3 linked regions of the Anolis sagrei genome follow. Each later gene encodes a partner of the first gene's protein in a complex. Links are inferred from orthologs where the notes say so. Each region holds a gene or a part of one and is shown on either strand. Other genes may lie near its edges.

What was found. The genes of interacting proteins can lie anywhere in the genome.
Region 2: SMARCA5 (region 1) and DEK share a complex: the UniProt entries of both Homo sapiens proteins name them as parts of the B-WICH complex. The link is inferred for Anolis sagrei from reciprocal best matches to the Homo sapiens genes SMARCA5 and DEK.
Region 3: SMARCA5 (region 1) and MYBBP1A share a complex: the UniProt entries of both Homo sapiens proteins name them as parts of the B-WICH complex. The link is inferred for Anolis sagrei from reciprocal best matches to the Homo sapiens genes SMARCA5 and MYBBP1A.

What each region holds. Positions count from the first base shown.
Region 1 is NC_090025.1:46,574,494-46,582,416, forward strand, and holds the start of SMARCA5 (SWI/SNF-related matrix-associated actin-dependent regulator of chromatin subfamily A member 5), read left to right. Parts: upstream 1-4,916; 5' UTR 4,917-5,382; coding exon 5,383-5,514; intron 5,515-7,923. UniProt on the Homo sapiens protein: ATPase that possesses intrinsic ATP-dependent nucleosome-remodeling activity.
Region 2 is NC_090024.1:79,805,248-79,812,988, reverse strand, and holds the start of DEK (protein DEK), read right to left. Parts: upstream 3,009-7,741; 5' UTR 2,876-3,008; exon of another isoform or gene 2,690-2,875; 5' UTR 2,679-2,689; coding exon 2,567-2,678; intron 1-2,566. UniProt on the Homo sapiens protein: Involved in chromatin organization.
Region 3 is NC_090031.1:32,715,891-32,723,300, forward strand, and holds the start of MYBBP1A (myb-binding protein 1A), read right to left. Parts: upstream 3,009-7,410; 5' UTR 2,970-3,008; coding exon 2,805-2,969; intron 1,179-2,804; coding exon 1,080-1,178; intron 1-1,079. UniProt on the Homo sapiens protein: May activate or repress transcription via interactions with sequence specific DNA-binding proteins. Repression may be mediated at least in part by histone deacetylase activity (HDAC activity).

The DNA of each region.
Region 1 (7,923 bases):
ACCTGAAGATGCTTGTGAATAGTATCATCTGAAAGAGAAAAAATTGCTCTACAAGATTAATATGTTTTTGTTTTGCAATGTGACCATTAAGTATCCATTTACTCAGGTCAAAGTATGGTATATTTTGTGCATTTATGCATTATGCTTTCTGCATCTTCAGGGCCTGCTAGTTCTTTTGATTGGCCGCTAAGATGTGATACTTGCTGGATTCCAGAACAGCTTTTTGCTGTTATTCTAGCTCCGTCAGTGACATCATCTGGTCAGCAATATAATTGCCCTGAAACCATTCTCTTGCAGATCAATGATGCTTTCAGAATGATGAAGTAACTGAATAAACCGAGTTGAGATCATGCAGTAAAGAAACCTGCAATCAGGCTTGATATCCTGCAGTAAAGATACCTGCTCTGGCTGTTACTGCATGGCTATCAACATGCCCCCTATAGTGATGGGGATGCTGGTTTCAATGTGATAACCAGTAATGGCTCAGCCATCATGGAGAAACGCAATACACCTTGCATACAAGATATAATATGCTTTGACCCATTTACTGGAGCCCCCAGTAGTGCAGTGGATTAAACGCCTGTGCAGGCAGGACTGAAAACCGACAGATGGCAGGTTCGAATCCGGGGAGAGCATGGATGAGCTCCCTCTGTCAGCTCCAGCTCCCCATGCGGGAACATGAAAGAAGCCTACCACAATGATGGTAACAAATCAAAACATCTGGGTGTCCCCTGGGCAATGTCCTTGCAGACGGCCAATTCTCTCACACCAGAAGTGGCTTGCAGTTTCTCAAGTTGCTCCTGACACAACCAAAAAATCCATTTACTCAGGTCACTATCGTTCAGATAAGGGGGTTGAGATCAGCAGCTATTGCAGTTAGAAACCTCACATTTTGGGAAACTTAGTTTAACACCTGACTGCCACTACAGCTAAAATTTGAACAAAATTGGAGACATGATGGTGGGAAAGTTTAGACTACTTGGTACGGAATGACCCAAAAACCTTTGAAGATTATGTTGCCTATATTATATCCACTTTAGAATACACATTTCAAACTTCAGTAACTGCCTCTTGGCATTGGACTGTTCTTTTATCATGGAGAGATTCCAGGAGATTTTGAGATCAGACACACTCTGCTCAACCCATTCCAATACAAGAACACAGATAACTGGTTACAAAGAAGAAGGTATTTGCAATGAATTCAACTTGTGCAGCAACTAAGTTATTCTACAAGTATAATGTAATGAGGATAACTTCACTTCTTTTGCATTATTAGTCTTTTTACTCACTGCTCTAACTAAAGGAGGCGTGTTAGGTATGTTTTGCTCCACAGGTCAGGAAAATTATAGCACTCCATTTTAAAACTATGTATGAAGTTTAAAAATGCTAAAGGATGTACAAACAATGAGTTACTTTTCACAAACTGTTCTAAATTCTGGGGGTTTTGAACTATTTCAAAGTCGGCCTAGTCTGTTTAGCTTTCTAATCTCTTCTTGCAGGTCAACAAAAAGTAATTCATTATTATTATTATTATTATTATTATAACAATAATAATAAACAATCTTTATATCCCACCCAATCTTCCCAGAGGGACTCAAGGTGGATTCCAATATGCAGTGACAAACATTCAATGCCTCCATAAAACAAGTACCAACATCATAACCCCCGAAAAACCTCACATATAAAAACAATTAGAACCTAATATCAATAGATTATAGCAATCGTAAACAAAAACTATATAAAATCTGAACATAAAACAATTCACATGGATCTACAGATGCCAACTATCATTCATAACATTGTGTGAGTTGTTTTTGTGGCCAGTGATGATAACTGGGCTAACATGGATTAGCAGAGCCTGGATACAAAATAATTCTCAACCAGAGGTCTGGTAGTGCTCTCTTATTATTAGGTTTATTTATACCATGCTTTATCTGTCCCAAAGGAGACTCAAAGCAGCTTACTTTGTTGGCGATAGCAACCTTCTCAAGCCTACTCTATGTAAAGTTATGTTTGTTTATAATGTGTCATTTTATTTCTTAAAGTGTATGCCTTCTTTGGTTTTCAGTTTCCTTAGCTCTATATACTTGAGGCAGTGGGAGGGGCTGCAGATCAGTGACAGTAGAGAATGCATATTAAAACATGATGACAGTTGAGGAATGAGTGTGGAGGCTTGAGTCAATTAGAATACAGAAGCCAGTGTAGGCAGTTAGAAGACAGTTGAGGCTTATGTCAGTTAGAATAGAAAAGCTAGTGTATTTATTTATTTATGACATTTACATGCTGCCCTTCTCATCCCAAAGGGGACTCAGAGCAGCTTACAAGTTATATGTACATACAATATATTATATTATTAGCATAGCACAATATTAGTATTATACATTACACTATACTGAACTATACCACTATACTGTAATATTATTAGTAATATAACATGTAACATGAAATATAAAATTATATTAGTACTATTATATTGTATTACATTATAATATTATCAATATTATATGTGCATACAATATATTATAATATTAGCTCTGCCAGGCCCGTAGCCAGGATTTGGGTTGGGGGGGGGTGAGTTTGATTCGGGGGGGGGGGCTGAGTCTGAGTGAAAGAGGGTCTACCCTAGCAAACCTTTTGTATCATTACCCCAATACCCCCATGCATACGGGATATATTGAGCATGTTGATCAGATCATGATATGAATAAACATAACAGTTTAAATAATGTACCAGTAAGGCCTTCTTGTGGACCACGATGAGAATTTCGCCGGGGGGGGGGGGAGAAGCCCCTCAAGTCCCCCCCCCCCCCCGGCTACATGCCTGAGCACATCACAATATTAGTATTATATAGTCAGAAGGCAGTTAGACCATGAGACAGGAGCCCCCGGGGGTGCCATGGGTTAAACCCTTGTGCCAGCAGGACTGAAGACTGACAAGTCGGTGGTTCGAATACGGGGAGAGCATGGAGGAGCTCCCTCTGTCAGCTCCAGCTCCCCATGCAGGGACATGAGAGAAGCCTCCCACAAGGATGGTAAAACATCAAAACATCCGGGCGTCCCCTGGGCAACGTCCTTGCAGACGGTCAATCCTCTCACACCAGAAGCGATTTATAGTTTCTCAAGTCACTCCTGACACAAAAAAAGCCTTGAAACAATTTGAGTACAGAAGTCTGTTTTTCAAACTGTTAGGAAGGCTGGGTTGTTGTAGGTTTTTTTCGGGCTATATGGCCATGTTCTAGAAGCATTCTCTCCTGACGTTTCGCCTGCATCTATGGCAAGCATTCTCAGAGGTAGTGAGGTCTGTTGGAACTAGGAAAATCTATATAAATAAAAATGTAATGTTTGTTTGTGATATTAACAGAACTCAAAAACCACAGGACGAATTGACACCAAATTTGGACACAAGACACCTAACAACCCAATGTATGTCCTTCACTAAAAAAAAAGAATAGATTTTGTCATTTGGGAGTTGTGTTGTTGTTGTTCATTCGTTCAGTCGTCTCCGACTCTTCGTGACCTCATGGACCAGCCCACGCCAGAGCTCCCTGTCGGCCGTTACCACCCCCAGCTCCCTCAAGGTCAGTCCAGTCACTTCAAGGATGCCATCCATCCATCTTGCCCTTGGTCGGCCCCTCTTCCTTTTGCCTTCCACTTTCCCCAGCATCATTGTCTTCTCTAGGCTTTCCTGTCTCCTCATGATGTGGCCAAAGTACTTCAACTTTGTCTCTAGTATCTTTCCCTCCAGTGAGCAGTCAGGCTTTATTTCCTGGAGGATGGACTGGTTGGATTTTCTCGCAGTCCAAGGCACTCTCAGCACTTTCCTCCAACACCACAGCTCAAAAGCATCGATCTTCCTTCGCTCAGCCTTCCCTAAGGTCCAGCTCTCACATCCGTAGGTGACTACAGGGAATACCATGGCTTTGACTAGGCGGATCTTTGTTGCCAGTCTGATGTCTCTACTCTTCACTATTTTATCGAGATTGGACATTGCTCTCCTCCCAAGAAGTAAGCGTCTTCTGATTTCCTGGCCACAGTCTGCATCTGCAGTAATCTTTGCACCTAGAAATACAAAGTCTGTCACAGCCTCCACGGTTTCTCCCTCTATTTTCCAGTTGTCAATCATTCTTGTTGCCATAATCTTGGTTTTTTTGACGTTTAGCTGCAACCCGGCTTTTGCGCTTTCTTCTTTCACCTTGATTAGGAGTTGTAGTTGCTGGGAAATATAGTTCACTTACAATCAAAGAGCATTCTGAACCCCACCGACAATAGAATTGGACCAAACTTGGCACACAGTTCTCCCATGACCAACAGAAAATACTGGAAGGGTTTGGTGGGCAGTGTCCTTAGGTTTTGGAGTTGTAGTTCACCTAAATCCAGAGATCACTGTGGACTCAAACAATGATGGATCTGAACCAAACTCTACACAAATACTCAATATGCCCAAATGTGAACACTGGTGGATTTTGGGGAAAATAGAATCTTGACATTTGGGAGTTGTAGTTGCTGGGATGTATAGTTCACCTATAATCACAGACCATTCTGAACCCCACCAACGATAGAATTAGGCCAAACCACCCACACAGAACCCCCATGTGGGCCACAGCAACGCGTGCCTGGGAACGGCTAGTGGGTTTATATATCTGTGGAATGACCAGGGTGGGACAAAGAACTCTTGTCTGTTGGAGCTAGGTGTAAATGTTTCAACTGTTGGGAAGGCTGTTAGGAATTGTGGGAGTTGTAGTCCTCAACACCTGCAGGGCCGAAGTTGGGTGTTCTTTTCCTCACCTGCTTTCTTCTCCTTTCAGAACGCGCGAGAAGACAGGCCCCGCCCCTTTCGCCCACTCAGTGACGTCACTCCCTTTATCCTGACTCCACCCACCAGCGCTCGTTCGCGCGCGCGCGGACTCTCTCTCTCTCTTTAGCCCCGCCCCCCGTTCTCTCCCAAATACGCGCGCGGAGGGACCAGTCAAACCGGCAGGCATCCCCTCTTGGCTTCTCTCTCGTCATCCAATCGGATTGAAGCAAGCCAGCAGGCATCTCTCTCTTTCTCTCTTTCTCTCTCCCCCCTCCCTTTTTTTGGCTTCTCCCGTTCTACCCAATCGGATCGAAGCAAGCAGGAAAGCAAGCGTCGGGCGAAGGCAAAGAGGAGCAGCACGCGCTCACTCTCTCTCTCTCTTTGGAAGCGTAGTCTCGCGAGACTCGGGAGCCGGCTAAGGGGGTTCCTGGTTGGTGGGACTGAGCGCTGAGAGAAGCCGGCGAGAGGAGGAGAAGAAGCAGAAGAAGAACAAGAAAGAAGGAGCCTGACGGCCGGGACCGCGCGGGAGGAGGCGAGGGGGGCTCCTCCTTCGGAAGGGAACAAGGCCGCGCCAACCGCCGCCGGGACATGGCTGAGAACGAGGCGGGGAGCGAGATCCCTCCCGCCGCCGCCACTGCCGGGTCCGGCACCGAGAGCGCCGCGGAGGCAGTTGTGGAGGGGCCGCCAGGAGGAGGAGGAGGAGGCGCCGAAGAAGGAGCGGTAAGAGAGGGAGGGGGGGGGAGCCCGAGAGAGAGAGCGAGTGAGGAGGAGGGCGCTTCTGCCTCCCTCTTCCGCCCTTCTCCCTTCTTCGCCGTTCCCCGCGTGGGACGAGGAGACAATGGCAGGAGGGAGGCGGAGGAAGAGCCCCAGCCCAGCCTTCCGGGGCTCTCCCGAAATCCTCCTCTTCTCTCTCTTGCCCTTCTTCAGCTTCTTCTTATTCCTCCTCTTCTTCCTTCTCCTTCCTCTTCTTTCTCCTTCTCTTCATCTTTCTCTTCTTTTCCTTCCTTTTCAGTTCCTTCTTCTTCTTCCCTTCCTCCTCTTTTCCTTTCTTTTTAACTTCTTCCTCCTCCTCCTCTGCTTTTTCTGTTTTCTCCTCTTCACCTTTCTCTTCTTTTCCTTCCTTTTCAGTTCCGGCTCCTTCTTCTTCCCTTCCTCCTCTTTTCCTTTCTTTTCACTTCTTCGTTCCTCCTCCTCTTCTCCCTTTTCTGTTTTCTCCTCTTCACCTTTCTCTTCTTTTCCTTCCTATTCAGTTTCTGATCCTTTGTCTTCTTCCCTTCCTCTTTTCCTTTATTTCCACTTCTTCCTTCCTTCTCTTCTTCTTTTTCTGTTTTCTCTTCTCCTCTTTACCTCTTCACCTGTCTCTTCTTTTCCTTCCTTTTCACTTCCTTCCCTTTCCTCCTCACTTTCTCCTCATTTCCTTCCTTTTCTCTTCTTTACTTCTTCCTCCTCTTCACCTTCATCTTCCTCTTTTCCACCCCTTTTCACTCCTTCCCTTTCCACTTCACTTCCTCTTTTCCTTCCTTTTCACCTCTTATTTCCTCTTCTCCTTCCTCTTTAGTTTTCTCTTCTTTCTCCTCTTCATCTTTTCTTTTCCTTCCTTTTCACTTCTTCCTCTACCTCCTCTTCTCCTTCCCTTTCCTCTTCACTTCATCCTCATCTCCCTCTTCCTCCCCATCACCCTCATTTCTCTCTCTCAGTCCTTCTCTTCCTTTCCTTCTTGTTCTTCCTTTTCCTCCTCACCATTCTCTTCCTTCTTCTTCCTCCTCTTCTTTCTCCTTCATCTCCTCCTCTTCACCTTCGTCTTCCTGCCCTTGTTCTTCTTTTTCACTTCCTCATCCTCTTCTCTCTTTTCTTCTGTTTTCTCTTATTCTCCTCTTAGCCTTCATCTTTCCCTTCTTTCCCTTCCTTTTCACTTCTTTCTCCTCTTAACCTCCATCTTTCTTTCTCCTTTTCTTCCTCTCCTTGTTCTTCCTTGTGACTTTTTCCTCCTCACCACCCTCTTCTTTTCCTTCTCCTTCATCCTCTTTCTCTTCCCTCTCTTCCTACTTCCTTGCCATCTTTTCTTATTTCTACTCCTATTTTCTTCTCTCCTTGTTTTCTCCATCTTCTCTTTTTCTTCCTCCTCACTGTTTTCTTCTTCTCCTTTCTCCTCTTTCACATCTCTTCTTTTTCTTCTTGTACTTCCTTGCTTCTTCTTTTTGTCTTCTTTTTTACACATTTTTTTTCTTTTTCCTTTTTCTCTCTATCTTCTCCTTCCTTCTCTTCTTTTTCTTCTTGTACTTCCTTGCCTCTTCTTTTCATCTTCTTTTTACACATTTTCTCTTCTTTTTCCTTTTTCTCTCCATCTTCATCTGACCTGGACTCTATGCTTTCTTTCTTTAATGGGAGAGAGTCCAGACTGCCTACAGTATACAATTAATGTGGTTTGGCCCAATTTGAGGTGCCCTGTCTCAATGTTGTGGGATCCTAGGAGTTGTAGTTTTATGGGCACCAACACTCTTTGATAGAGAAGGCTAAAGACCTTGGTTGCACCTTCAACTGTAGATTTAAGGCAATTTGACATCATTTTAATTCAGTGCCAGGTCTTCAACCTTCTCTGCCAAAGAGTGATGGTGCCTCATAAAACAAACAAGTCCTATCATTCTATTGCATTGAGGCATGGTAGCTAAAGTGGCTAAGAATGTTAGTCTGGCAGCAGCCACTGAAAGGGCTCTTTCTGATGTTCTCTGTAAAATTACAACTCCCATGATTCCACAACATTGAGCTACAGCAATTAAAGTGGTGTCAAACAGCATGAATTCTGCAGTTAAGATGCACCTTTAGAGTCCAATACTCAAAAGCTGGCTCTTCCTTGCTGGGTTGCTTGGCTCCAAAACTGCGTGATCCCAGACAGGTTGATTCACGCTCCATTTATACTGACCGATTAATGCATTTTGAAGCTAGCTTCAAACTGTGACGGCCAATGGCCAGGCAACAAACACACACAGAAGCATGCGAAAGAAAGCCCATGATGTGTATCAGTGCTCTGTGCTTTGCATATCATCTGGGCCTCAAACTGGTTCCAGGATTTCCTATGTAATTGCCTGCACAGCAAAACCACTTTCTTCAATACTGGTTTGAAACTGCATT
Region 2 (7,741 bases), on another chromosome or scaffold:
ATCCCAGAAAGTGTATAAAAGGCTTTTAAAACAAAATTTGTAAAAGAATGGCATAGGTGCTGAAGTGTAAATAAGAGCGATAAATCTTTCAAATTGCATGATATCCTTTATCTGATCTGAACTGCTTCAATATCGCTATTTGTTTACTGTAAGTCTAATTCAGCATTTACTTTTTGTATGTTGTTAATTACATTGTTTTTTGAACTGTGAACCACCTGGAGTCCCAATCCTGGGGGAAAAGCAAGTCAATAGCAATAATGATGATGGGAATCATATTTGCACAGACTGAAAAAACCACCATGCATTAGAAAAAAAGTCATTTTATTTTAACATAAACTTTCCAACTTTGATATTAATGTTTTGAATTGTATCGTTCTTTTAAAAATGTGAATTCTGGGGGGGGGGGGAAGATAATAATGATAATGATAATAATAATAATAATAATAATGGTGTTTGCATAGGCTACATACAATCATGCATGAGAAGGAAGCAATCTTTCTTTCTAATAACTTTCTCTATTTTAATACAAACTTTTCTACTATAACATTAACGTTCTGTATGTTTTGAATTGTATTGTTCTTTTAACTTGTGAATCATTTGGGAGTCTCAATCCTGGGGAATGCACAATATTATTATTACTACTACTACTACTACTACTACTACTACTAACAACAACACTATGCAACAAGATTAGCAGTATTTTCTGTTCCTGGTTTGACAGTGTTATTCCTATTTAATTGCGCAGAACTTTAAAAGTAGTTGTTATGCTCCAAAACTTTGTTTTTGTGTCTGCCACAAACTATGTTGAATTGGTCAAGACTCTATGAGACATTTCTTGAAAAACCAGGACCAAGAAGAGAGTGATTTTCTTTTCTTTCCCACAAATTTGCCTACTCAATGCCACAGGGAAGTAGCAGCCAGCAATGAAAGGACCAAGGCATTGACATCTCCGGCCCATCCTCTGTTCGGGTATCAGCCAGCATGCTAACGACTTAAATCAAGATACAGCTTCCTAAGATCTACAGAGATATTTGCTGGAACATCTCAGCAAGTGAGAGCCCAAAAGTGATAGGTAAAAACCCAGAATATCAATCAGTGGGTGATACCAGATAAGAAACTCCCTCATGGGCACACAGAAGACTGTGCAATTTGGAAGGCGCTGAACAAACTGCGCTCTGGCGACCTGAGCTGCAGAGGCAATCATAGAGTTTGAAGAGACCTTGTGGGCCATCCAGCCCAACACCCTGGAAATCGCATTCAAAGCACCCCTGACAGGTGGCCATCCAGCTTCTGCTTTAAAAACAGGAGAAAACAAGCCTGCTCCCTCCCATGACTTCCCCACAAATATTTATATATGGCCATCATGCTTCTTTTCAGCCTTCCCTTCTGCAGTTTAAATATGCCCATCTCTTTAAGCAGCTTCTCACAGGGCTTGTTCTCCAGACCCTTGATCATTTTAGTTGCCCTTCTCTGGGCACATTTCAGCCTGTCAATATCTCCCTTAAATTGCAGTGGCCAGAACTGGACACAGTATTCCAGCTGTGGTCTGACCAAGACAGACTAGAGAGGTAGCGCGTATTCCCTGAATCTAGACACTATACTCCTATTTATGCAGGCCAAAATCCCTATGGCTTTTTAAGATGTTGCTTCACATTGTTTGCTAATGTTTAACTTGTCCATGAGGACTACAAGATTTTACACGTACTGCTATCGGGCCAGGCGTCCTCCATTCTGTATCTTTGCATTTCATTTTTTTTTTGTCGAAGTGGAGTATCTTGTTAGTTCATTTTGTTAATTCATCTTAAGAAATGGAGCTACAAAGTGGAGCCCATAACATGAGAGTGTGGAGAAGAGCAAACCACAGACCACTTAATACAGTGGTTCTCAACCCTGTGAATCCCCAGGAGTTTTGGCCTACAACTCCCAGAAATCCCAGCCAGTTTACCAGCTGTTAGGATTTCTGAGAGTTGGAGGCCAAAACATCTGGGGACCCACAGGTTGAGAACGACTGACTTACTACGATGCAGTCTGCGCCCTGCCACATGCACAATGGAGGACTTCCTTAAAGCAACAACAGAGGCACTCAAAGTGACCAGCTTCTGCTCAAAGGAAATGTAGCATAATGCCAAGTTTTTAACTTTGTTTGTGGGTTTTTTTTAATACAACTATATTCTAAATTTGCTTCTGATATGATAAATAAATAACATTTTGTATATTTCGTACCGTTCTTTCAAATAGAGGACCACTTCCCTGGGCAGGATTATAATAATATTTGTACAGGTTCGGCAAACTTGGGCCCTCCAGGTGTTTTGGACTTCAACTCCCACAATTTCTAACAGCCTACCGGCTGTTAGGAATTGTGGGAGTTAAAGTCCAAAACTCCTGGAGGGCCGAAGTTTGCCCAGGCCTGAGCTAAAGGCTTTCTCTTTTCCTGCCTTGAAGTCCTTTCCAGCCCTATTTGTTTGTATGGAGACAAAAGGCAGCTGCCTTGAGGCGCTCTCCCTGCACACACGGACCTCTATTTACATGGCACACCCTGTTGCTTTGGATGTGGCCACGCACTTACCTTTCTCTTCCTCCTCTTCCTCGCTCTCTCCCACTTTGTTTTCGGCTTCTGAGCCCATTTCTTCCGCCTCCTCCGCGGCCTGGGAGCCGTCTTTTTCGGAAACAGACGTCATGGCTGGTTCTCCTGCAGGGAGACACAAGCAGGGAGGCGTCAACGCAGCCTCGGCCTTGAAAACGCCACGGGGTTCGACCTCTATTTGACAGAAAGGGCGCCCGGGCGGGCTTCGGCCTCTGTATCAGGGCCTACTTCGCGGTCTGGGTTGAGCGGGAAGAAGAGCCCGCCATTATTTTGAGTTGGGAAGCGGCCTACCCGACGGCGGAGGCCCGGCCCCTCCTCCTCCTCCTCTTCCTCTCCCGCCTTCTTTCTCTTCTCCTCAGACGAACAGCGCGCCTACTGAAACCTCTTCGCTCGAGATGGCGTCGAGTATAGCATCGCGAGATTTCCGCTGTCCCGCGACGGCTGACATCTCGCGGGATCCCCTAGTTCTGTTCTCATTCTCTCGCGAGACTCGAGAGGCTTTCTATAAGCCTGCCTCCAGAGTTGTTGTTCTTATTATATTTGGGTTGCTGTGAGTTTTCTGGGCTGTCTGGTCATGTTCCAGAAGCATTCTCTCCCTCATCTATGGCAGGCATCCTCAGAGGTTGTGAGGTCTGTTGGAAACTAAGCAAGTGGGGTTTATATATCTGGAATGTCCAGGGAAGGGGGAAAAAACTGTCAGCTTGAATGTTTGCAATTTTGTGTTTTGTCTGTCTGTTTGTTTTGTTCTGTTAGAAATGTAATACAATTGACTGGTTGCCCTGACACGACAAATAAATAAATAAATGCAATTGGCCGCCTTGATTACCATTGAATAGCCTTGCAGCTTCAAAGACTGGCTGATTCCTGCCTGGGGGGATGCTGGACCGCACTAACCACCACCATGTCAGACTACACAGAGAACTCTTAACTACACAGATCATAGAATCAAAGAGTTGGAAGAGACCTCATGGGCCATCCAGTCCAACCCCCTGCCGAGAAGCAGGAATATTGCATTCAAATCACCCCTAACAGATGGCCATCCAACCTCTGTTTAAAAGCTTCCAAAGATTTAAAATTATTATGTCCTGTTGCTGTAAACTTCAGTAAAAGTATCAGTTCAATTGATCATGAGAATACTCAATTCATATAGTACACAAGCATAGGGAGCTATTTACAATGGTGTAACAAACCTAATATTCATGAAAATGAACAAAATCTGGCTACCAGTATTTTTTTAAAAACTCTAAAATCAGGACAGTAAGTAAAGACTCAAAAAGCCAGGGAAGTCCAGACAATCCAATCAGGGCCAGCTAACACCTCATAGAATCAAAGAGTTGGAAGAGACCTCATGGGCCATCCAGTCCAACCCCCTGCCAAGAAGCAGGAATATTGCATTCAAATCACCCCTAACAGATAGCCATCCAGCCTTTGTTTAAAAGCTTCCAAAGAAGGAGCCTCCACCACACTCCAGGGCAGAGAGTTCCACTGCTGGACGGCTCTCACAGTCAGGAAGTTCTTCCTCATGTTCAGATGAAATCTCCTTTCTTGTAGTTCTTGTCCTAATCCCCATGGAAGCAGTAAACAAGCTTGCTCCCTCCTCCTTGTGGCTTCCTCTCACATATTTATACATGGCTATCATATCTCCTCTCATCTTCTTCAGGCTAAACATGCCCAGCTCCTTAAGATACTCCTCATAGGGCTTGTTCTCCAGACCCTTGATCATTTTAGTCGCCCTCCTCTGTACACATTCCAGCTTGTCAATATCTCTCTTGAATTGTGCCCAGAATTGGACACAATATTCCAGGTGTGGTCTAACCAAAGCAGAATATCTATAAGTACAATGTAAATACAGAAATGTCCCCAGAGTGACTCACGCTCCCACCTCCTTCGCAGGCGCTATTGGTGGGGACGAGGGAGAGTGCCTTCTCGGTGGTGGCCCCCCAACTCTGGAACTCACTTCCCAGGCACATCAGATATGCCCCAACTCTGGCAGTCTTTAGGAGGAGCATGAAAACGTGGTTGTTCCAGTGTGCCTTCCCAGAATAATGAAAACTCTCAGCAATATGCCCTCAAAACGCACTTTACCACTGATTTAGGACTGACTGCATGCCCTCATTTCTCTCTGAAAATCCTATCCCAGTTATATCCTACCTTGTTCACGTCAGCATTATTTTTTTAATTTTAATCTATTACATTTGGCCCGGCCATTGGTTTTAAATGCTTGTATGTCACTGTTGATTGTTTATTGCTTATTTTTTGTTTATGTGATTTATATGAATTGTATTGTATTGATTGTTTTATTGATGTTTTGTTTATTGATGTATTGTGGGCTTGGCCTCATGTAAGCCGCTCCGAGTCCCTTGGGGAGATGGTAGCGGGGTACAAATACAGTTTTTAAAAAAATTATTATTATTATTATGTCCTGTTGCTGTAAACTTCAGCAAAACTATCAGTTCAATTGATCATGAGAATACTCAATTCGTATAGTACACAAGCATAGGGAGCTATTTACAATGGTGTAACAAACCTAATATTCATAAAAATGAACAAAATCTGGCTACTAGTACTAAAAAACACCCTCTAAAATCACGACAGAAAGTAAAGACTCAAAAAGCCAGGGAAGCCCAGACAATCCAATCAGGGCCAGCTAACACCTCCCAACAAAGGATCCCCCAGGCAGCAACCAGTCAGGCATTGAAGCGACAAGACCATTAAATGCTAATCAAGGTGGCCAACTGCAACATTCACACCTTCCTCAAGCAGACAAGAGTTCTTTCTCCTACCCTGGACATTCCACAGATACGTAAACATCCTTAGGCAACAGACCTCACCACCTTTGAGGATGCCTGCCATAAATGCAAGTGAAATGTCAGGAGAGCCCAATCCCCTGAGAAATTTCTTTCTACTCATCTTCCCCCCTCTAAACCAACTAACCCCCAAAAGTCCCAGTGAAAAATATTTTGTTCCAGTTTTAGTGGTGGGGGAGGATCTATGTGCCAAATTTCGTCCAAATCCATCAATGATGAGGCTCGCAGTGGTCTCTGGATGTGTGTGAAGGTACTGCAACTCCCATCAATTTCTAATTTCTATGTATGGTTCTGAAAGTAGACAGTTAATTTTTTGTGCCCATTTTTACTTTCAGTATTGTTACAATAGGGCGAAGACCAACTTTTTAATGATGTTTGTAGATTGGTCTATATAGCTTTGCATTCTGTTTTGACCAGAGTCCCCAGTGTGACTCACAAAATAAAAACAATTTCATTAAAGATTAAAGATGATTACAGTTGTTCATTTGTTCAGTCATTTCTGACTCTTCGTGACCTCATGGACCAGCCCATGACAGAGCTCTCTGTCGGCTGTCACCACCCCCAGCTCCTTCATGGTCAATCCAGTCACTTCAAGGATGCCATCCATCCATCTTGCCCTTGGCCGGCCTCTCTTCCTTTTTCCTTCCATTTTCCCCAGCATCATTGTCTTCTCTAAGCTTTTCTTTCTTCTCATGATCTGGCCAAAGTACTTCATCTTTGCCTCTACTATCCTTCCCTCCAGTGAGCAGTCGGGCTTTATTTCCTGAAGTATGGACTGATTGGATCTTCTTGGGGTCCAAGGCACTCTCAGAATTTTCCTCCAGCACCACAGTTCAAAAGTGTCTATCTTCCTTCGCTCAGCCTTCTTTATGGTCCAGCTTGCACACCCATACATTACTATGGGGAATACCATTGCTTTAACTATGCGGATCTTCATTGCCAGTGTAATGTTTCTTCACTATTTTATTGAGATTGCCCATTGCTCTCCTACCAAGAAGTAAACGTCTTCTGATTTCCTTGATGCAGTCTCTGTCTGCAGTAATCTTTGCGCCTAGAAATACTAAGTCTGTCACTGCCTCCACATTTTCTCCTTCTATTTGCCAGTTATCCATCAGTCTGGTCGTCATAATCTTGGTTTTTTGATGTTTAACTGCAATCCACAATTTCTTCTTTCACCTTGGTTAGAAAGCTCCTCAATACTGTGTTAAACAATATAATGTATTATGAAATAATACCTGAGAAAAATAAATTAAGCACGAGCTCTGATCTGTAAAATGATCAGATAATAGAAAAGGACTGTAGTGCCAAAAGGATCTTCAGAGGACTTTCAAAGTTAAGAGAAAGATTTTTTCTTTCAGACATGCATAATACACTTTCCCCAAAACAAATGGGAAGAGATGCTTTTTGAAATATTGGGAACCATGCTGTTTAGAGTTTTACAAATAAGCACCAGTACCTTGAGCTGGACTTGGGGGAGCCCTTATAGTGCATTCTAACTTGATGTACTGTGTCATGAATGTATCAGAATAAACCAGCCTGAGGTACAATGCTTTTGAATTCTTTTCATGGATGGTGTGATGTAATACAATAAATCAAAATTAATGAAAATAAATATTATTGTATAACGATTGACTGATCAGGAACCGCCATGCGGCTCTAGTTCAAGGATAACAAAAGAGGCAGAAACACACTACCACTTCAGGATAATTATGTTGAAAACACAACTGAAACAGAATGCTATAAAGAAATGCAGATTCTGGCAAGTGGTTGTCTTGAAAGACAACCCTCTGCTCTGTAAACAGAGCTCTGTCATTAATCTTGACAAAAATAAGACTGTAGATAGTACTCTGATGTACAATGGGCTCCTATGGCTAAGAAGCTAAATTAGTAATTAGGTTGTTACATACTTTTGAAAGAATGGAGAGTACTGTGAAAGTCCAAAATTAAATATAATTACCACGTAACTGAGTTTTTGTACCTGCATAATGGTTCTCTCTGCAGGTAAAAAACAGAAACGATCTTCTGTATATATGGTAAACATGATCTGCCCGTAGTTTGCAGTGGGTAACTCTACTGGCTGGCATCCAATTTTGATCTTTTGGATTGAAGGGAAAATAATTAAGTACTTCATAAATCATCATAACTGCATCACCAAGAGAAATGTTAAATGATTTTTTTTGATAGTTCGTATTTCAGATACTATTACTATTATAGGTGGTCTAATGTTTTTTATTCTAAGAATTCGCCTACTTAAAATTAATGCATAACTCTTGACTTCTGTGTTCTGGTTTTGTCTATCACATTGGGAAGATGGGTTTTTTGCTTTATTATCATATATTCTTATTATGTC
Region 3 (7,410 bases), on another chromosome or scaffold:
GGCAGACTTTTTAATCATATAACAATGGGGGGAATATGACCTTAGAAAAATCTTCTTTTTGCCTCCAAGCCATTTTTCTTTCAAATTTCTCCACAAAGAACTTCCATCCAAGTCTTCCCCTTTGTGTCATATCTGATGCCGACAGGAAAACCTGGATTTCTTTAACATATGTTTATTGCCTTCACTCACGAACACAATAGAATGGCTTGGCTGGCAGACCCCCCACCCGGATCTCGCTAAGCCTCAGGAACAATTTTGTCATAATCCAGAATGCATTGTATCCCTTCATCCCGCCTCCCTCCCTTCCGATTCGCTGGAGCGTCAAGGCAGCAGGAGCCTCCTGATAGGCTCTGTTGCATCGCGAAAGCCCTGTGATTGGCCCTGATGCATGGGGATGGCCAAGCCTCCTCCCAGCTGTTTGCGCATCAGCCAATCCCCTTCAAGCTGGGTGGGAGGGGGGAGCGGGAATTTTGAAACTCACAACTCTGTATTTTCTATAAAAATGGCCTTTACTTCTGTAACCACATGCTCTGCTTGGCGAATGATTGCTGCTCTGCATCCTTTTCAGTTTAATCGCAAATAAAACATCTCGGTGGCACTTCCTTCAACTTGGTGAGACCTTTTATTGGGAAAAATCAGGGATTGGGTGCTTCTCTCTGTCTTGTCAGGGAAAAGAACTCTTTGATGAGTCTAATTGGTCTCTGCCTCCTGGCAAAGACCCCAAAATTCCTCCTCTATAACAGGATGTAGTGCTCACTAATGTCGTTGGAGGGAGGGCCACTGATGTCACCCGAGTGGTGGGATTTAAAGCTGTTTGTGGAGATGGGAGGTTGACTTTGCAAATGAACACACATGTATTATTAATAATAATGATTATTAATTATTATATTAGGTGTATAGATAAAAGATAGATCGATACGTGTGTGTTCTTGTCTGCGTACTTTAGTAATTTATTGTATGTTTATGTTCACTTGTTTTTTACTTGGTTGTACTCCGCCTCGAGCCATCACGTGAGTAATAAAAAAAATGCAACAAGTAAATAAATACATTAATTAATACATAAACAAACAGCTCCGCACCTGTGCCAAGGCCAGGCTGAATCCCGGACGGGACGCCTCTCGCGTGGCTCCCAATCCCACAACCAGGCGCTTTAATGTGTATTTCAACAGGTCGCCATCCTAAAAGAAACAATGCATGGAGACACTGAAGCAAGGCAAAGTTCTCTCTCTCTCAACCTTGCTGCTTTTTTTAATAGAGTGTGCATGGCCATCTGCCGGTAGGGATCAGATGGTGTCTTTCTTTAGGACTGAATGGGTTTGGACTAGATGGCACTTGAGCCTCTCTTCCAACTCTAGGATATTATTATTATTATTATTACTATTATTATTATTATTAATAGGTGGCCCTCTATTGGGAGGGATCAGATGGTGTCTTCCAATTCTAGGATACTATTATTACCATTAAGTAGAGGGTGGGTGGCCCTCTTTTGGGAGGGATCAGATAGTGTCTCCCAACTCTAGGATACTATTATTATGATTATTATTAAGTAGAGGCTGGGTGACCCTCCGTCAGGAGGGATCAGATGGTGTCTTCCAACTCTAGGATACTATTATTATGATTATTATTAAGTAGAGTCTGGGTGGCCCTCTGTCAGGAGGGATCAGATGGTGTCTTCCAACTCTAGGATAATATTATTATCATTATGATTAAGTATAGGCTTGGTGGCCCTCTGTCAGGAGAGATTGGATGGTGTCTCCCAACTCTAGGATGCTATTATTATTATTATGATTAAGTGGAGTCTGGGTGGCCCTCTGTCAGGAGGGATCAGATGGTGTCTTCCAACTCTAGGATACTATTATTATGATTATTATTAAGTGGAGTCTGGGTGGCCCTCTGTCGGGAGGGATCAGATGGTGTTTTCCAACTTTAGAATACTATTATTATGATGATTATTAAGTGGAGCCTGGGTGGCCCTCTGTCAGGAGGGATCAAATGGTGTCTTCCAACCCCAGGATACTATTATTATTATTATTATTATTATCCTGAGTGATAATAATAATAATAATAATAATAATGGGTGACCCTCTGTCGGGAGAGATTGGATGGTGTCTTCCAACTCTAGGATGCTGTTATTATTGTGAATTTTAAGTAGAGGTTGGGTGGTTGAGTTCAGATAGTGTCTTCCAACCCCAGGATGCTATTATTATCATGATTATTGAGTATAGGCTGGGTGACCCTCTGTCGGGAGGGATCAGATGGTGTCTTCCAACTCTAGGATACTATTATTCTCATTATTATTGAGTATAGTCTAGATGGCCCTCTGTTGGGAGGGATCAGATGGTGTCTCCCAACTCTAGGATGCTATTATTATGATTATGATTAAGTGGAGTCTGGATGGCCCTCTGTCAGGAGGGATCAGATGGTGTCTTCCAACTCCAGGATACTATTATTATGATTATTATTAAGTGGAGGGTGGGTGGCCCTCTGTCAGGAGGGATCAGATGGTGTCTTCCAACTCTAGGATACTATTATTATGATTATTATTAAGTGGAGGGTGGATGGCCCTCTGTCGGGAGGGATCAGATGGTGTCTCCCAACTCTAGGATACTATTGTTATGATTATTATTAAGTAGAAGGTGGGTGACCCTCTGTCGGGAGTGATCAGATGGTGTCTTCCAACTCTAGGATACTATTATTATGATTACTATTATTAAGTGGAGCCTGGGTGTCCCTCTGTCTGGTGTCCACGTGTGGGGGTTGGACTAGATGCCCTTTGGGGTTCCCTTCCAAGCCCAAAGACTGACCTTCCTCCTCTCCTTGAGGTGTGCCAGGAGTCCCTGGGTGCCTCCCACGCGCCTCTCCTGCTCGGGCCTGGCGATCTCCCAGAAGAAGTCCAGGAACTCCCGGCTTTGGCCCAAGAGCCTCTCGCCCGCCGAAGAAGAAGCCTCCGCGCCGCCATTGCTCTCCATGCTTGGGAAAAGGAACCGGATGTCAATTCCCGCCTCACGCGCATGCGTATCCGCACCCACTTCCAGGGCAACATCCGGCTCTCGGCTGCCACCGCTCGGAATCGCTTGGTATTGCATGCGGGGAGGTCATTTTGTACTACGATTCCCAGAATTCTTTCCTATGGACAGCCTAGGTAGGGAATCCTGGGAGTTGAAGTTCCTCCAAGCTGGAGTTCTCCTCTACCCAATCCTTTCTTTCCCCATAGAATATTAGAGTTGGAAGAGACCTCCTACGCCATCCAGTCTAACCACATTCCACCAAGACCTCCCAACTAAGGATTCCCCCAGGCATTCACCACCAAGAAGGAGGAAAACCTCCCAACAAAGGATTCCCCCAGGAATTCACCATAAAGAAGCAGGAAAACCTCCCAACAAAGGATTCCCCCAGGCATTCACCACCAAGAAGGAGGAAAACCTCCCAACAAAGGATTCCCCCAAGCATTCACCACCAAGAAGGAGGAAAACCTCCCAACAAAGGATTCCCCCAGGCATTCACCACCAAGAAGCAGGAAAACCTCCCAACAAGGGATTCCCCTAGGCATTCACCACCAAGAAGGAGGAAAACCTCCCAAGAAAGGATTACCCCAGGCATTCACCACCAAAAAGGAGGAAAACCTCCCAACAAAGGATTCCCCCAGACATTCACCACCAAGAAGCAGGAAAACCTCCCAACAAAGGATGCCCCCAGGCATTCACCACCAAGAAGGAGGAAAACCTCCCAACAAAGGATTCCCCCGGGCATTCACCACCAAGAAGCAGGAAAACCTCCCAACAAAGGATTCCCCCAGGCATTCACCACCAAGAAGGAGGAAAACCTCCCAACTAAGGATTCCCCCAGGCATTCACCACCAAGGAGGAAGAAAACCTCCCAACAAAGGATTCCCCCAGGCATTCACCACCAAGAAGGAGGAAAACCTCCCAACAAAGGATTCCCCCAGGCATTCACCACCAAGAAGCAGGAAAACCTCCCAACAAAGGATTCCCCCAAGCATTCACCACCAAGAAGTAGGAAAACCCAGGAATTCACCATCAAGAAGCATTAAAACCTCCCAACAAAGGATTCCTCCGGGCAGTAAGAAGCCAGGCCTTGTAACTGAAAGGGCATTCACCACCAAGAAGCAGGAAAATCTCCCAATAAAGGATTCCCCCAGGCAGTAAGAAGCCAGGCCTTGAAACTGCAGGACCATTCACCACCAAGAAGCAGGAAAACCTCCCAACAAAGTATTCCCCCAGGCAGTAAGAAGCCAGGGCAGGAAACTGCAAAGCCATTCATCAAGAAGCAAGAAAAGCCCCAACAAAGGATTCCCCCAGGCAGAAAGAAGCCAGGACTTCAAACTGCAAGGTCATTCAACACCAAGAAGCAGGAAAACCTCCCAACAAAGTATTCCCCCAGGCAGTAAGAAGCCAGGCCCTGAAACTGCAAGGGTATTCACCACCAAGAAGCTGGAAAAGCCCCAACAAAGAATTCCCCCAGGCAGTAAGAAGCCAGGGCAGGAAACTGCAAAGCCATTCATCAAGAAGCAAGAAAAGCCCCAACAAAGGATTCCCCCAGGCAGTAAGAAGCCAGGGCAGGAAACTGCAAAGCCATTAATCAAGAAGCAAGAAAAGCCCCAACAAAGGATTCCCCCAGGCAGTAAGAAGCCAGGCCCTGAAACTGCAAGGGTATTCATCACCAAGAAGCAGGAAAAATTCCCAACAAAGGATTCCTCCAGGCAGTAAGAAGCCAGGCCTGGAAACCGCAAGGGCATTCACCACCAAGAAGCAAAAAACCTCCCAACAAAGGATTCCCCCAGGCATTCACCACCAAGAATCAGGAAAACCTCCCAACAAAGGATTCCCCAGGCAGTAAGAAGCCAGGCCTTGAAACTGCAAGGGTATTCACCACCAAGAAGCATTAAAACCTCCCAACAAAGGATTCCGCCAAGTCCTGAAACTGCAAGGCCATTCACCACCAAGAAGCAGGAAAACCTCCCTACGAAGGATTCCCCCGGGCAGTAAGAAGTCAGGCCTTGAACCCACAAGGGCATTCACCACCAAGAAGCATTAAAACCTCCCAACAAAGGATTCCGCCAAGCCTTGAAACTGCAGGGCCACTCACCACCAAGAAGCATTAAAACCTTCCAACAAAGGATTCCTCCAGGCAGTAAGAAGCCAGGCCTTGAAACTGCAAGGGTATTCACCACCAAGAAGCAGGAAAACCTCCCAACAAAGGATTCCCCAAAGCAGTAAGAAGCCAGGAATTGAAACTGTATGGCTATTCACCACCAAGAAGCAGGAACACCTCCCAACAAAGGATTCCCCAAAGCAGTAAGAAGCCAGGAATTGAAACTGTATGGCTATTCACCACCAAGAAGCAGGAACACCTCCCAACAAAGGATTCCCCCAGGCAGTAAGAAGCCAGGCCTTGAAACCGCAAGGCCATTCACCACCAAGCAGCAGGAAAAGCCCCAACAAAGGAATCCCCCAGGCAGTAAGAAGCCAGGCCTTGAAACTGCAAGGGTATTCACCACCAAGAAGCAGGAAAACCTCCCAACAAAGGATTCCACCAAGCCTTGAAACTGCAGGGCCACTCACCACCAAGAAGCAGGAAAACCTCCCAACAAAGGATTCCCCCAGGCAGTAAGAAGCCAGGCCTTGAAACTGCAAGGCCACTCACCACCAAGAAGCAGGAAAACCTCCCAACAAAGGATTCCTCCAGGCAGTAAGAAGCCAGGCCTTGAAACCGCAAGGGCATTCACCACCAAGAAGCAGGAAAACCTCCCAACAAAGGATTCCCCCAGGCAGTAAGAAGCCAAGCCTGGAAACTGCAAGGCCATTAACCACCTAGAAGCAGGAAAACCTCCCAATAAAGGATTCCCCCAGGCAGTAAGAAGCTAGGCCTTGAAACCGCAAGGCCATTCACCACCAAAAGCAGGAAAACCTCCCAACAAAGGATTCCTCCAGGCAGTAAGAAACCAGGCCTTGAAACTGCAAGGGCATTCACCAGCCTGGTAAACCCACAACAACCTTGCATTCAAAGCACCCCTGACAGATGGCCATGCAGCCTGTTTCAAATCTTCAAAGCATCCCCAACAGATGGCCATCCAGCCTCTGTTTCAAATCCTCAAATTTATTTATTTATTTACGACATTTATATGGGCCAGCTAACACTTCCGACAAAGGATTCCCCTGATCATAATTAATACTAACAGTGTGCCAAGCTAATAATATAATATATTGTATACACATATTATATTGATCATAATGTTATTATATAATACAATATAAAGCAATATAATAATATCATAACTGTAAAATACATGTAATATTACCAATAAGATTGCACTATAGGACAATATACTAATATATAATACTAATATATTACTAATATTGCTAATATTAGTAATATAATACTAATTATAATGTAATACAACATAATACTAGTAATAATAATTCAATATTATAATTATAATTATATACTTACATTACATGTAATATTAGTAATAATATTACAATATAATGGTATAGTGCAATATAGTAGTATATACTGATACTCTACTATGCTAATAATATAATATATTGTATGAAAATATATATTGTAAGCCGCTCTGAGTCCCCTTCGGGGTGAGAAGGGCGGCATATAAATGCCATAAATAAATAAATAAATAAATAATAGTGTGCTATACTAACACCTCCCAACAAAGGATTCCCCCAGGCAGGAAGAAGCCAGGCTTTGAAGCTGCAAGGCTTTGCAATGGTAATCAAGCTAGCCAATGGTAACAGTCATACTTGCCTCCAACGGACAAGAGTTCTTTCTCCCACCCTGGACATCATTCCACAGGAATATACTCACTCGCGTAGTTTCCAACAGACCCCTCAACCTCTGAGGATGCCTGCCTTAGATGTGGGCGAAAGGTCAGAAGATAATGCTTCTGGAACATGATCAGACAGCCCAGAAAACTCACAACAACCTTGCATTCAAAGCACCCCTGACAGAGGGCCATCCATCTATAGTAATATAGTAATATATAATACTAATAGTGTGCTATACTAACACCTCCCAACAAAGGATTCCCCCAGGAAGGAAGAAGCCAGGCTTTGAAGCTGCAAGGCTTTGCAGTGGTGATCAAGCTGGCCAATGGCAACATTCACACTTGTTTATATATCTGGATGTTCACAGAGATATCAACTCCATTTGACTAGTTTCGAACAGACTCACAACCTCTGAGGATGCCTGCCTTAGATGTGGGCGAAACGTCAGGAGAGAATGCTTCTGGAACATGGGCAGACAGCCCAGAAAACTCACAACCTTGAATTCAAAGCACCCCTGACAGATGGCCATCCATCTATAGTAATATAGTAATATATAATACTAATAGTGTGCTATACTAACACCTCCCAACAAAGGATTCCCCCAGGAAGG